Linked DNA regions of Macaca mulatta. The protein of the gene in region 1 purifies or fractionates together with the protein of each later gene. This does not show direct contact. Links are inferred from orthologs where the notes say so. Each region holds a gene or a part of one and is shown in the gene's direction. Other genes may lie near its edges.

What was found. The genes of interacting proteins can lie anywhere in the genome.
Region 2: the proteins of RAPGEF2 (region 1) and MAGI1 purify together in Homo sapiens (co-immunoprecipitation; 3 studies listed by BioGRID and IntAct, with this or other methods). This does not show direct contact. The link is inferred for Macaca mulatta from reciprocal best matches to the Homo sapiens genes RAPGEF2 and MAGI1.

The regions. Positions count from the first base shown.
Region 1 is NC_133410.1:167,885,115-167,891,548, forward strand, and holds part of RAPGEF2 (rap guanine nucleotide exchange factor 2), read left to right. Parts: intron 1-1,039; coding exon 1,040-1,423; intron 1,424-2,370; coding exon 2,371-2,582; intron 2,583-2,672; coding exon 2,673-2,796; intron 2,797-3,427; coding exon 3,428-3,451; intron 3,452-4,502; coding exon 4,503-4,726; intron 4,727-6,171; coding exon 6,172-6,381; intron 6,382-6,434. UniProt on the Homo sapiens protein: Functions as a guanine nucleotide exchange factor (GEF), which activates Rap and Ras family of small GTPases by exchanging bound GDP for free GTP in a cAMP-dependent manner.
Region 2 is NC_133407.1:128,980,355-128,986,788, reverse strand, and holds part of MAGI1 (membrane-associated guanylate kinase, WW and PDZ domain-containing protein 1), read left to right. Parts: intron 1-3,306; coding exon 3,307-3,489; intron 3,490-4,048; coding exon 4,049-4,669; intron 4,670-6,434. UniProt on the Homo sapiens protein: Plays a role in coupling actin fibers to cell junctions in endothelial cells, via its interaction with AMOTL2 and CDH5. May regulate acid-induced ASIC3 currents by modulating its expression at the cell surface.

The DNA.
Region 1 (6,434 bases):
TCCACTGAGCTATAAATTCATGATTCACATTCATTATTGAAGAAAATTATAGATGGGTATGTCATGGGCTTCATGAGTAATCAAAATGGAGAATGTTAAATCTGTGAAAATCAAGGGTGCAAAGTATATATTTTTTGTCATATGTGTTTGTCTTGGTGAAATATACAAAAAAACATTTTAGCGGGGCCCCTACTGTGCTCATTCTGTTTTTTCGTTTACGGAATTTCACAGAGAAAGCATATGTCTAAAAAAGAAAAACAAAACAAAAAAATACCACCACCACCATACCACAGACACACACACACACACACACACACACACAACAAACATCTTAATGCTATTTTCAACAAATTACCTAAAAGGAGAAGGAGCTCCAGCCCTGTGTTCTCATTTTTGCACTGACATTAACTAGTCAAACTTTAGGAGCCTGTTTCCTATTCTGACAAATAAGTATAATACCTGCCATCCACTTACCTGCAGAGTTTTTATGAAAATCCAGATTTTTTAAAGTTAACCTATTGTAGGATTGTTCTGTTCATAGGATCAAATAGAGGCAAGTAGCTTAGGGTTTCTTAGGTATTTGAATCAATAAGTAAACCTGGATTGTTACAATTTGGGCCCATCAATAATCACAGATTATTGGGAAAATAATAATGATGATCTACTTGTGTCTGATCTTTCCTGCTTCCTGCCTTAGGATCTAGTTCCTTTTTAAACTAAAAATGTGGCTATTTTCTGTTATTTTTAGCAAAAAGGGTAAAATACTTCCAAAAGCAGGAAAAGAAAGGAGAGAAAGAAAGTCCAGCTAGTAAAAGTGAAATTCCATGTGATTTGTTTGTTTCTACCACCTACTTCTGGATAGGCAGTTCTGTGACCTGGTACCTGAGACAGCAGCTGCGCTCTGTCTTGGTTGAAAAGAAATCTTCCATCATTCAAATCGGTGTTCTCTCAAACTTTCCGTAAAAAGTAGCATTCTTTCAAGGAATATCGTGAGATTGCTGCATAGGCTTTGACTCTGGTATGTTTCTGTTTTTCACAGGTATTATCTGAAAAACAACATGGAAACAGAAACTCTTTGTTCTGATGAAGATGCTCAGGAGTTGTTGAGAGAGAGTCAAATTTCCCTCCTTCAGCTCAGCACTGTGGAAGTTGCCACACAGCTCTCCATGCGAAATTTTGAACTCTTTCGCAACATTGAACCTACTGAATATATAGATGATTTATTTAAACTCAGATCAAAAACCAGCTGTGCCAACCTGAAGAGATTTGAAGAAGTCATTAACCAGGAAACATTTTGGGTAGCGTCTGAAATTCTCAGAGAAACAAACCAGCTGAAGAGGATGAAGATCATTAAGCATTTCATCAAGATAGCACTGCACTGTAGGGAATGCAAGAATTTTAACTCAATGTTTGCAATCATTAGGTAAGAGAACACATTTTTCTTAAGATTCAGTTCAGTTCACAGATTTAAAATATGTATCAGTCCAGGAACATCGTATAATTAGTATAAATGCAGTAGATTTTAATTGACTCATAAGGGACAATTCTTTTTCTCTGAATCCTAACCTTAATTGAAAATCTCTCGTACCAACAAAACCAGCTGTGCCAACCTGAAGAGATTCGAAGAAGCCATTAGGCAGGAAACATTTTGGTAGCATCTGAAGTTCTGATTTGGAGCTCCGAAAATCTATATCCCCCACTTTTTTTTTTTTTAAGTTTGTTTCAACTTTTCTCAATATCAGTTTACTTTTCTGTGGAAATAACAATACCCCAAAGAGTTATCAACAAGATTAATGATATCATGTATGCGGAGTTCCATCAAATAGCACAAAGCAGTTGGCCAGGAAATGTTAATTTTCTTCCCTTTTTTTAAGAGCTTAGATTGAGGTTAGAAGAAAAAAAAAATGGCAACAATTAGTTATGTTGCTATTGAGGGTGATTATTAAATGAGTCATTTTCTCTGTCTGGGAGTTTAGTCATACTCTCATTACTATCATAGCTTATTTTATTACTAGAGGATATTTGCTCAGTCGGTTTTATCAAAAGGCCGCTATGGGCTAAGCACTGGTATGTATACATACTGCTATGTATGGATACAAAGCATCAATACTTATATTCAGGTGGTTTTGCTGATAGTAAACAGATGAGGAGGGTCTATAGGGAAGAGGAGAGTAAAACGCCTTGGCTTGACCCTGACCCTACTTCCCTGTGCCATCTCATTCCCCAGAATTATCATCAACAGTTTCTTATGCAGCCTTCTGTAAATTGTTTTGCATATAAAGCATAAACAAGGAGGTGTTATGTGTCAATAAATAATCTGTACACTATTTTACTTTAGTTGTTATATCACATTTCTTTTTCTCCTCTCAGTGGCCTAAACCTGGCACCAGTGGCAAGACTGCGAACAACCTGGGAGAAACTTCCCAATAAATACGAAAAACTATTTCAAGATCTCCAAGACCTGTTTGATCCTTCCAGAAACATGGCGAAATATCGCAATGTTCTCAATAGTCAAAACCTACAACCACCCATAATCCCTCTGTTTCCAGTTATCAAGAAGGATCTCACCTTCCTTCACGAAGGTAAACATAAGGCAGAGGGTTTCCATCTTTGCTTGGAGAAGCACAGAATAAATGCCATGTGATTTCCTTTTTCTTCTCTGTCAATTTCAGGAAATGACTCAAAAGTAGACGGGCTGGTCAATTTTGAGAAGTTAAGGATGATCGCAAAAGAAATTCGTCACGTTGGCCGAATGGCTTCAGTGAACATGGACCCAGCCCTCATGTTCAGGACTCGGTGAGTATGTCATCTTCAGTGCCACGTGTGAGAGTAGAGAAGGTTAAATTTAGAGCTTCCCAATAAATGATTTTTTAAAAGTTTGAGTATTTACATTTGTCCTACGGCAGAAATTATAGTAGGATGTGCTGAGAATCACCTGTGAGCTCTAATTTGGAATAAATGTCTTATTCCTTATAAAGTGTTCTTTTGGCTGTCAGTAAAAACAGTTTGTCCTTCAGATATTTTCAGTGTAATAGTCACAATTATGTATTTCTTATTTCTCAGAACACTGACTTGTAGAGCTAAAACTCATAACTAGTAGTATGAACTAAAATATGTAAATATCCGAAATAGTCTTGTCTTAATATCCACACAACAGATTTAGCTAGCAGTGTAGTAAAAAGTGATTAATTCAGTGAAAGAGAGAAAAGTCGGTCTTAATTCTAGAACAAAAAATTTAAATATATTTGTCTTTTAAGCTAGAAAAATATTTCTAGTAAAGTTGCGTGTGTGAGGTGATTATGCAGTTTAATGTTTGTGGGCTTCTAGAACTGCTTATCCAGAAGTCTAGTCCTTTCTTTCTGAGCTTGTGATCTTTCTGTCTCTCTTTCTACACCCATGCTTCAATCTCCATGGCTCTCACTTACAGGAAGAAGAAATGGCGGAGTTTGGGGTAAGTGGTGGAGACCTTGCATACCCACACACAGTCCTTATTCTGCTCATTGTATTGTTTTCTTACCTGCTGTATTTTCTGATGCTTTGCATTTTTGCATTTTTTTCCTTAACCCTCTTGCTGTAGCAGAATTTCAGACGGCAAACTGACTTCAAGTTTAATCTGTTGGGGCTTTTGCTTTTGAAGTCATGATCCATGAGAGCTGTGAAATGATTGATGACTGTTCTGGGGAACTATAGGCCAGTTTTTCTGAACTCTTAGAAAGATTTTATTTTAATATAATTGGTGTGTCTTGAAATGCGGAAAGCTCAAAGTAGGGGGAGGGGAGGAAGGATATTAGAAGGAAAAATTGTACAATTAAAATATTTCACAGATATGTGAGAAATAAATATTTTTAATATAAAATAGGTGCCCCCAGGTGTTAAACCCAAATTTTTTACAGCTCAACTAACTACTATTTTCATTCTGTATAAACCAATCCTTTTTAAAAATAATTCTTAACAATTCATGTGCTCAATAGTTTCCATACATACATGTTTACATTTGCATGATTGTTTTATTAACAGATTGACCGTATTACTTTAAAAACTCACTACATTCAACTCAAGGAATAAGAAGACAATTGTGAACATTGTAGTTAATTTTATTTAAATATATATATAATATCCTCTTTAGGGGAAGTAATCTTAATGTTGCAAATCTTAATGATTATAGCTGTGTATTCTTGCATGAGCTTTTATATGTAATTATTATTTTCTGGCATCTGTGAGAGAACTGCCTTAAATGCTCTATAGAGGTGAAAAGTAGAATTTCCTAGTTCGAACTGAACAGGTGCCAAACATATATTTTTATATGTATATTATGTATAATTTTCTTTTAACTAAATTTTTTTAATCTATATTATTCTATATTCCTGTGTAACAGTTTACTCACTGGAATGAAGCATGTGACCTTTTGAACATAGAATATTAATATCAGTCTTGGCACGTTTTAAATAGATAAAGTACTCCCATGCTAGAGTGAGCTGCATATCTACCTTTTCATCTTCCAGGTCTCTCAGCCAGGGTAGTACAAACGCAACAGTGCTAGATGTTGCTCAGACAGGTGGTCATAAAAAGCGGGTACGTCGTAGTTCCTTTCTCAATGCCAAAAAGCTTTATGAAGATGCCCAAATGGCTCGAAAAGTGAAGCAGTACCTTTCCAATTTGGAGCTAGAAATGGACGAGGAGAGTCTTCAGACATTATCTCTGCAGTGTGAGCCAGCAACCAACACATGTGAGTTTTTCCTTAAAGTGGCTGCCGACTTTGGCTAGAATGCAGATTTGTTTCCTGTACAGTGATATGGGCAGTGACAAAATAAGGCTTAGTGCAGAGGGGGAGCTGGCAATCATGAGATATACTAGTCCTTCCCTTGAATGCTAATATTGAATACTGGATAGCACTGTGCGCGGCCAGGCCCTCAGGTCAGCTGGGTTAGTGTGTGGAGGATGACACTGTCCACATCTAGGGCAACCCGTTGCTTTAGTTTCACCTGGACACAGCCAGTACACATGCAAGGGGCGCATATGTAGATATGGCTCCCAATTATGTGTCTTGTGTTCTCAGAAAGGTGCCCCCAAATTATGGGCACCCTGAGGGGAGTCGGGGCATAAAGTTGAGTGTGCTGGCTGCCTTTTAACCACTAGCCCAGACAACACCCAACAAGAAATTCACCTACCAGTTAGAGCAATAATTCTGCTCCACAATGAACTACAATAGCCATTAAAAATCGGGTTAGTCTATAAATGGGGCAGTTTTTTTTTGCTAAATCTGCATCTTGACAAAGGCATTTTCCATTCAATACACTCCTGTGTCTTTTATGTGCAGATTTGAAGATGTCTGCTATAGGATTTAGTTTAGATAGGTGATTTGAGAAGATTTGGATTATTAGATTTACCCAGGACACTGTAGAAGCACTGTGTCATGGTGAAGAGCTTGTCCTCTGGAGTCAGAGTGGTCTGAGTTCAAATCCTGTTTGCCTCCTCTTACTAGCAATGCAGCCTTAGGCAAGTTACTTGACCTCCCTAATCCTTAGCTTCCAGGTGTGTATAAGGGAGGAAGCATACATATGTCATTGAGTTTTGCATATTAAGATACTACATGCACAATATTTAATTGTCCTAAATTGCTTTGCCATTTATCTACCACAAAATATATACTCAGTATAATACTCAAGCATTTTTGGCTACTGTTTGCTTGCATAGATAATTCTACCTCCTAGGAATGTGGTAGTAAATAGATTGCAGTTGGCAGCATTTATTAAATAAAAACTTAGTGCATATACTTGTCAACCAATTTGGAACACCATTTTAGAAAAATAGTGTCTGATGACTTGTCTGTTGTAGTTTTTATCATGTATTTGTGTCTTTCATATACATGGATATAACATATTGAACTACCCACATTTTTCTATATTTGTAATGGGGTGTTTAATAGTATAATCATCTTTTGAGATTGCTGACTTCATAAAGTAGATACCTTTGTCCTGCCACATACCTAATATTTTCTGTAACTAGGGTCCCCCATATCCATTTCTGTGCTTCATAAAGGCAGCAGGACGAAAGGTGTGCCTTTTAGTATTCTAACTGCAGAAAATGCTCACACAGTTCTAAAATTATCTTCTACATAGCTACTAGCATCTAAAATTCTTTGTTCTATTTTCAAACCCAAACAATTACCAGTGCCTAAGAATCCTGGTGACAAAAAGCCTGTCAAATCCGAGACCTCTCCGGTAGCTCCAAGGGCAGGGTCACAGCAGAAAGCTCAGTCCCTGCCACAGCCCCAGCAGCAGCCACCACCAGCACATAAAATCAACCAGGGACTGCAGGTTCCCGCCGTGTCCCTTTATCCTTCACGGAAGAAAGTGCCCGTAAAGGATCTCCCACCTTTTGGTAAGTGATTACATTCGTTTCTTTTTTTGGTGCCATTCACTCTCATGGTTTGC
Region 2 (6,434 bases), on another chromosome or scaffold:
GAGCACAGATTTGAACACTATTCATGAGGAATAGTTTAACTTCTGGTTGAAAGGTTTTTGGCTGTTTTGGTTTTTGTGTGATACCTCATTTGTGTAGTCTAAATCTATGTTGTTCAGTATGGAAGCCGCTGGTTACATGTTGCCATTTAAATTTAAATAATTACAGTTAAAAAATAAAACAAAATCAGTTTTTCAGTCTCACTAGCCATATTTCAAGGGCTCAGTGGCTACATGTGACTAGTGGCTGCCATGTTGGACAGTGCAGACACAGAACATTTCCATCATCACAGAAAGTGCCATTAGACAGTACTGGTCTAGGGTATTTAAACAGTAGTGTCAAGAAGTGACATTTCTTTCCCCTCCCCTCAGCCTGGCAGGGAAACATGCACCTAAGGTTCATTCAGGTGCAGAGTTTCGGGGCAAGACCCAGAACATCCTGATCAGTGAGTCTAAGGAAGGAGCTGAAAATAGGTACATTTTAAAAAGCTACCCAGGTGATTTTCCCTAGGTAAGACACAACCAAGCCTTACCACTGGTGACTGGTAAACAGAGGTTAGGATATTAGAAAATTACATGTACCACAGGGCTGCAGCTGAGAGCTCCAAATTCCACTGCTTGTGGGGTGAAAAGCATTTCTTTCCAAAAGCTGCATTAACTAATGATCCACCCCTATGTAAAAAGGAATAAAATGTGCATAAATGTGAAACCCTCTGATCTTCCCTCCCTTGTTAAACATTGGAAAAGGAAGTCAGTTGTATAATTTCAAAGCTCTGCTCTTGTCTTTATTAAGTTAACATTCTCAGCACAAAATATGTTAATGTATTTTTTTTAATTAGATAAACTGCCAGGCACATTTTCACATTTTCTAACTTAGCCTATAATAAGAGTGAAAAGCTCCAACACCCAAACACCTCTTTTCAGCCTTCTCAAAGACATGTTAAATATCATTTCTATGTGCTTTTATTTGTTCATTCATTCACTCACTCAACAAACATTTTTGGAGCACGTAAAATGTACCAGACAATATTCTAGATACTGGATATAAATACAAAAATCCTCATAGAGCTAACATTCTAGTGGTTTTATGTACCTGCGTATCAATGCCCCTCATGCATGGGAGTGGGGGATAGTAAGAAAACCAAAACTGTAAGTAAGATGTATATTCTGTTGGAAGGCGGTAAATGCTAAGGACAAAACTAAAGCAGGGAAAAGGGATTGGGAATGTATGTTGGAGGTGCTGCAATTTTTAGCAAGGTGGTTAGGGAAGGTCTTGCTGCGAAAGTAATGGCTGTTGATGATGTCTCTGCGTAACTGAAATGTGTTTCCCTTCAGGGCGCCTGGAATGCCCTAGCAGCACCTGCTGCAAGAGTGTAGGCCACTCACCCTCCTCCCCCTAAAGTAAACTTTGGGGGTTATCTTACCTCACCTCGATTTCCATCTGATAATTATCTTGGCGGCTGTCTCCCCAAAGCTCTTAGTACAAGTGACACCACCCTCCCGATGCCTTAGCGGATGACTTTGCCTGGCGAATCCTTCTAAGTCCTGCCTTTCTTTAGCCACTGTGACAGGGCTGTAGTTTGTCAGGCTTCCAATAAGCTTTAGGACTGTGCTAGAGAGCAGGTTAGCGAAAGGACCTCCGATTGCCGGCCATTTAAAAGAGCCTTCTTTGCAGGAGCCAGAAACTTTTAAAATATGCAATTAAAAATTGTATGCATGCCCAGAGACCTTTTAAGCCCTTTTAGATATAACTAACCAAAAATAACTTCTTTCCTAGGTGCCAGGCTCCTAGTGAAGGGGTGTAGGGAACTAATTTCTCCCTCTTTCTCTCTCTCTTTTTGTTTTGGATAACATTTTTAATAGAAAAGAAACAGGGCAGATGGAGAAGCTATGTGTGGCAAGAACAGGGTATAAGAAGTAAGTACAGTTAGAAGAGATGAAAGAAGCTGCTCATGAAATTAGGTCTACTAGTTGGGATAATCAGAGAAGTTCCAATAAGTTTCTCGATTACAGAGAAGTGCCTAGTAAAACCCAAAAGAAAACGTTTTGGTTTATGTTCAAAATGTTATTTGTGAATGTATCAAGAAAACGTAATAAAACCTTAGGTAGCATGTTTGGGAGTAATTTAGCTATATCTCTATCTGTACATTTATTTTATTTTTATTTTTATTATTTTTTTGAGACAGAGTTTCACTCTTGTTGCCCAGGCTGGAGTGCAATGGCATGATCTCAGCTCACTGCAACCTCTACCTCCTGGGTTCAAGTGATTCTCCTGCCTCAGCTTCCCAAGTAGCTGGCATTACAGGCATCCGCCACCTCATCTGGCTAATATATATATATTTTTTCTTTTTCTTTTTCTTTTTTTTTAAAGTAGAAACAGGATTTCACCATGTTGGCCAGCTGGGTCTCGAACTCCTGACCTCAGTGGTCCACCTGACTCAGCCTCCCAAAGTACTAGGATTACAGGCATGAGCAACCACGCCCAGCCTAACTTATTTTAAATAAGACAGCTGTATTCGGAGCTGTATGGCTACTGTTAGTAACTACTTAGTTTAGGGATTTTTTTTTTTTGGTGGGGTTTCTTTGTTTTTTGGTTTGTGTTTTTTAAACAAATATCCTAAACTTGTTTTAAACAGTAAATCTTAGCCGTAGACATGTGTTGGCTATTTCATAAATTTAATAAAAGGTGCAAATAAATAGGAAAAATAGTTGAATTTGGAGTTCAATTCAAAGTGAATTGACCCTTAATTTTGAAAATAGTCATTCTACATTTTTGTCAAATTATTATTTGTGACTCTAATATGTTTTCTGGTATTATCTGTGCATTTTCAGCCTGGATTTTCTGTTTGATTAAAACTAAAGTTTTTGTTCAGTTGATTTTTCGAGTGGAAGCCAGGCCCAAAGCAGCACATCAGAAGCCATATAGCAAAATAAAATTAAAACAAAAGACATAAAACAGACCAGTTCCATTTCCATTTGTGAAGGGGTTTGTAGCAGCTCAGTTCCTGTCAAACTGCATGAATGGAAACCAAGAAGTATGTCACCTGACAGGGACTAGTTTCATCCCTCTCTTGTAGCTGCTTTTGGACCCTGGAGTTGACATACTCTGTGCTTTACCTCCTTCCATCAACACTGGGGCCTAGGAACATCCTTATTCCTCAGATTAAGAGAGGACTTTCTTAAGATGCTATGTGCCCAAAGGCTCTAGGGCATAAGCTTGAAGAATTATCTATATGTTGTCTCAAATCTTGTTAAATTCTCCTTTTCACCAATGGTGACATTCCTTATGCTTTTCTTATTTTAATCCAGGCAAACCCTTTTTTACACGAAATCCTTCTGAGTTGAAAGGCAAGTTCATTCACACAAAGCTGCGGAAAAGCAGTCGTGGCTTTGGCTTCACGGTGGTTGGAGGGGATGAACCTGATGAGTTTCTGCAGATCAAGAGTTTGGTCCTAGATGGTCCTGCTGCATTGGACGGCAAGATGGAAACAGGTAGCGTCCACATGGCCTTAGTGTGTTCTGTGTGGTGAGACTCCAACCCAGAACATAAAGATGTGCAATCATGACATTGTTTGGTTTGAGCAAGACCAGACAGCGTCATGATTGCACATGTTTATACCTTTAAACACCTTGAGAATGAGCCCGGTCTCCACATTATATAAATTCATCCCTTGGGGCAGATTGAAACCTGTGAAGTCATTTTAACTTTGGGAAACTGTGTGACTACAGTAAAGCAATAAGTTACTAAAAATGTAGATCCCCATTTAAATAAATGAATTCTAAACTTGGATTTCTGCAGTGAGATTTTTTTTTAGGAGAAAGCTCCAATGTTCTTTCAGGGATTATTATATTCTCATTAGCAGGGAAGATACTAGGTGCTGAAAGAACACTTTATTAGCTGTTAAAATCAGTAATAGAAGCAGTTCATGCCCTATAGTATCACACCCATGTGCAGTTTCAGTTCAGTTTCATATTAGTGGAATATATTATAATACTGATGGCAATTTTATGGGTGCTGTTTTCTTAACCCCCACACTCTTGCCTTCTACAGGGGATGTGATTGTCAGTGTGAATGACACCTGTGTTTTGGGACACACACATGCTCAAGTTGTGAAGATCTTCCAGTCCATCCCCATTGGTGCCAGCGTGGACCTTGAACTCTGCCGAGGTTATCCATTGCCTTTTGATCCAGATGACCCCAATACAAGTTTAGTGACCTCGGTAGCTATTTTGGATAAAGAACCAATTATTGTGAATGGGCAAGAGACCTATGATTCACCAGCTAGCCACAGTAGTAAAACAGGCAAAGTCAATGGTATGAAGGATGCCCGGCCAAGCAGCCCAGCGGACGTGACTTCAAATAGTTCGCATGGTTATCCTAATGACACTGTTTCTTTGGCTTCCTCCATAGCCACTCAGCCAGAACTCATAACTGTTCATATTGTCAAAGGGCCAATGGGCTTTGGTTTTACTATCGCAGACAGTCCTGGTGGGGGTGGCCAAAGAGTGAAACAGATTGTTGACAGCCCAAGGTGCCGAGGCCTGAAAGAAGGGGATCTCATAGTGGAAGTTAATAAGAAGAACGTGCAGGCCCTAACTCACAACCAAGTGGTGGATATGCTGGTTGAGTGTCCTAAGGGAAGTGAGGTCACATTGTTGGTGCAACGAGGAGGTAAGTAGGTTTGTTTTGTTCTTTGAATTTTTTTTTTAGTCCCAAATTCATTGCTTAACTTACTCATCTTCAGATGACCACTGGGGGCTTTTTAAATGTGTATTCCTTTAAGTTCGTTTTTATTTAAATGCTTCAAAATGCCTACTGATTTCTCCAAATACTAACCTCTTTCGCATAAAAATTATGGTTTATACATTATGGCAGACATATGCAGTTAGAGTGGTACTTTAAAACAGAAATCAGATTATGCCTTTTTAAAACGTTAAGATTTAAAAAACCTAACTTGGGTGTGGTGGTACCTACCTGTAGTCCTGGCTGCTTGAGAGGCTGAGATGGGAAGATCACTTGAGCCCAGGCATGTGAGTCCACACTGGGCAACATAGTAAGACCCCATTCTCTAAAAAGTGCTTTTTAAATAAAAAATAGTAATAATAGCCTGTATCCTTTAAGCCTCCTGAACTAGGCCTGCATAGCCTGCAAAATGTGGCTGTGATCACTCCTCGAAACTTGTCTCATGTTCCTCTCCTCCATCTGATGGTGCTTTATCCACACTGGCTGCTTATATGGAACTCCTTTAATGCTTCAAGCCTTTTCTTGCCTCAGGCCCTTTGTACTTACTGTCCCCTCTACCTGGAATGGTCCTTTCCCAGCTCTTCCCAGCTGGCTCAGTCTCATTTAGGTCTCCTTCTGAGAGAGGGCTTCTCCCATCACTTTTTCTAAAGTAGCTCCCAACACTTCCATATAATCTTGATCACATTTCTTCGTAACCTTGATCATCATCACCTTTTTAGCACAAGGCATTATTTCATGCTTTTATTTATTTTTTAGTGTTTGTCTTTCATGAGAATATAAATTTCCATAAAGCTAGGGCCCGTGTATGCATGTGGACAGCTGTTGTCCCCAGCATTTAACACAACACCTGACTCCTTTTAGGTATTTATGAATGAATAGGTATTAAGTGAATAGGTGTGTGATTATTTCTATTTGGCAGAAGCAAGAGGTCTGCTAATCATATTAAACACTTCCCTCAACATGCTCACATTTTAATGAAGTAGTTGAGGATCTCAGAGATCTGGGTTATTCTAAATCTTGAGGCATTAAACTTCCTCCTTTCTCCTTGAGTCCACATCCCACCCTCTGCTTCACCAGAAAACACAGGACCTCACACTGAGCAATATTTTCCACCATATTGAAATGCCTTGCTCTTGGAATACGTATATATATGTGATTAGTCGTGACTGATAGTTTCACACAGTGGGCCTGAGAATAGCTGTTTCCCTGATCCTTGTCACCATGATATGTTTCATGAACAGCATATTCAGGCCTTTTGAAAAGAAATCAAGAACCATACTTTTATTTCCTTTTGGTTTGTTGCAACTGAGGAGTTCATTTGTGTCACAGCAGCCCGATTCTCATGTTTTCGTGAATCTGTGTGTTCTGCGATCAGAATGGCTGGGGTCATTTGAAGGAAACCCAAAATACAGAGCACCTATCTACGTGAATTGAAATGCTCAATGAGCCTGGCTTAGACAGTTACAAAAGGCACTGTGCAAATTTTATTTTTCTAAATGTCGTTTCCACTAACTAATTTTCAAGTCTCTTCTTGTACCTAGATCACTTGACTGCCCAGAGAACTGGTTTTAAACAGTAGCCAAGATGTATGTAGTGGGAAATGACTTGGGTATAAGAACGATTATGACAATAATGATGATGGTGATGGTGAAACCTGGCACTTATAGAAGAATCAGTGATAGACAAAGCACTT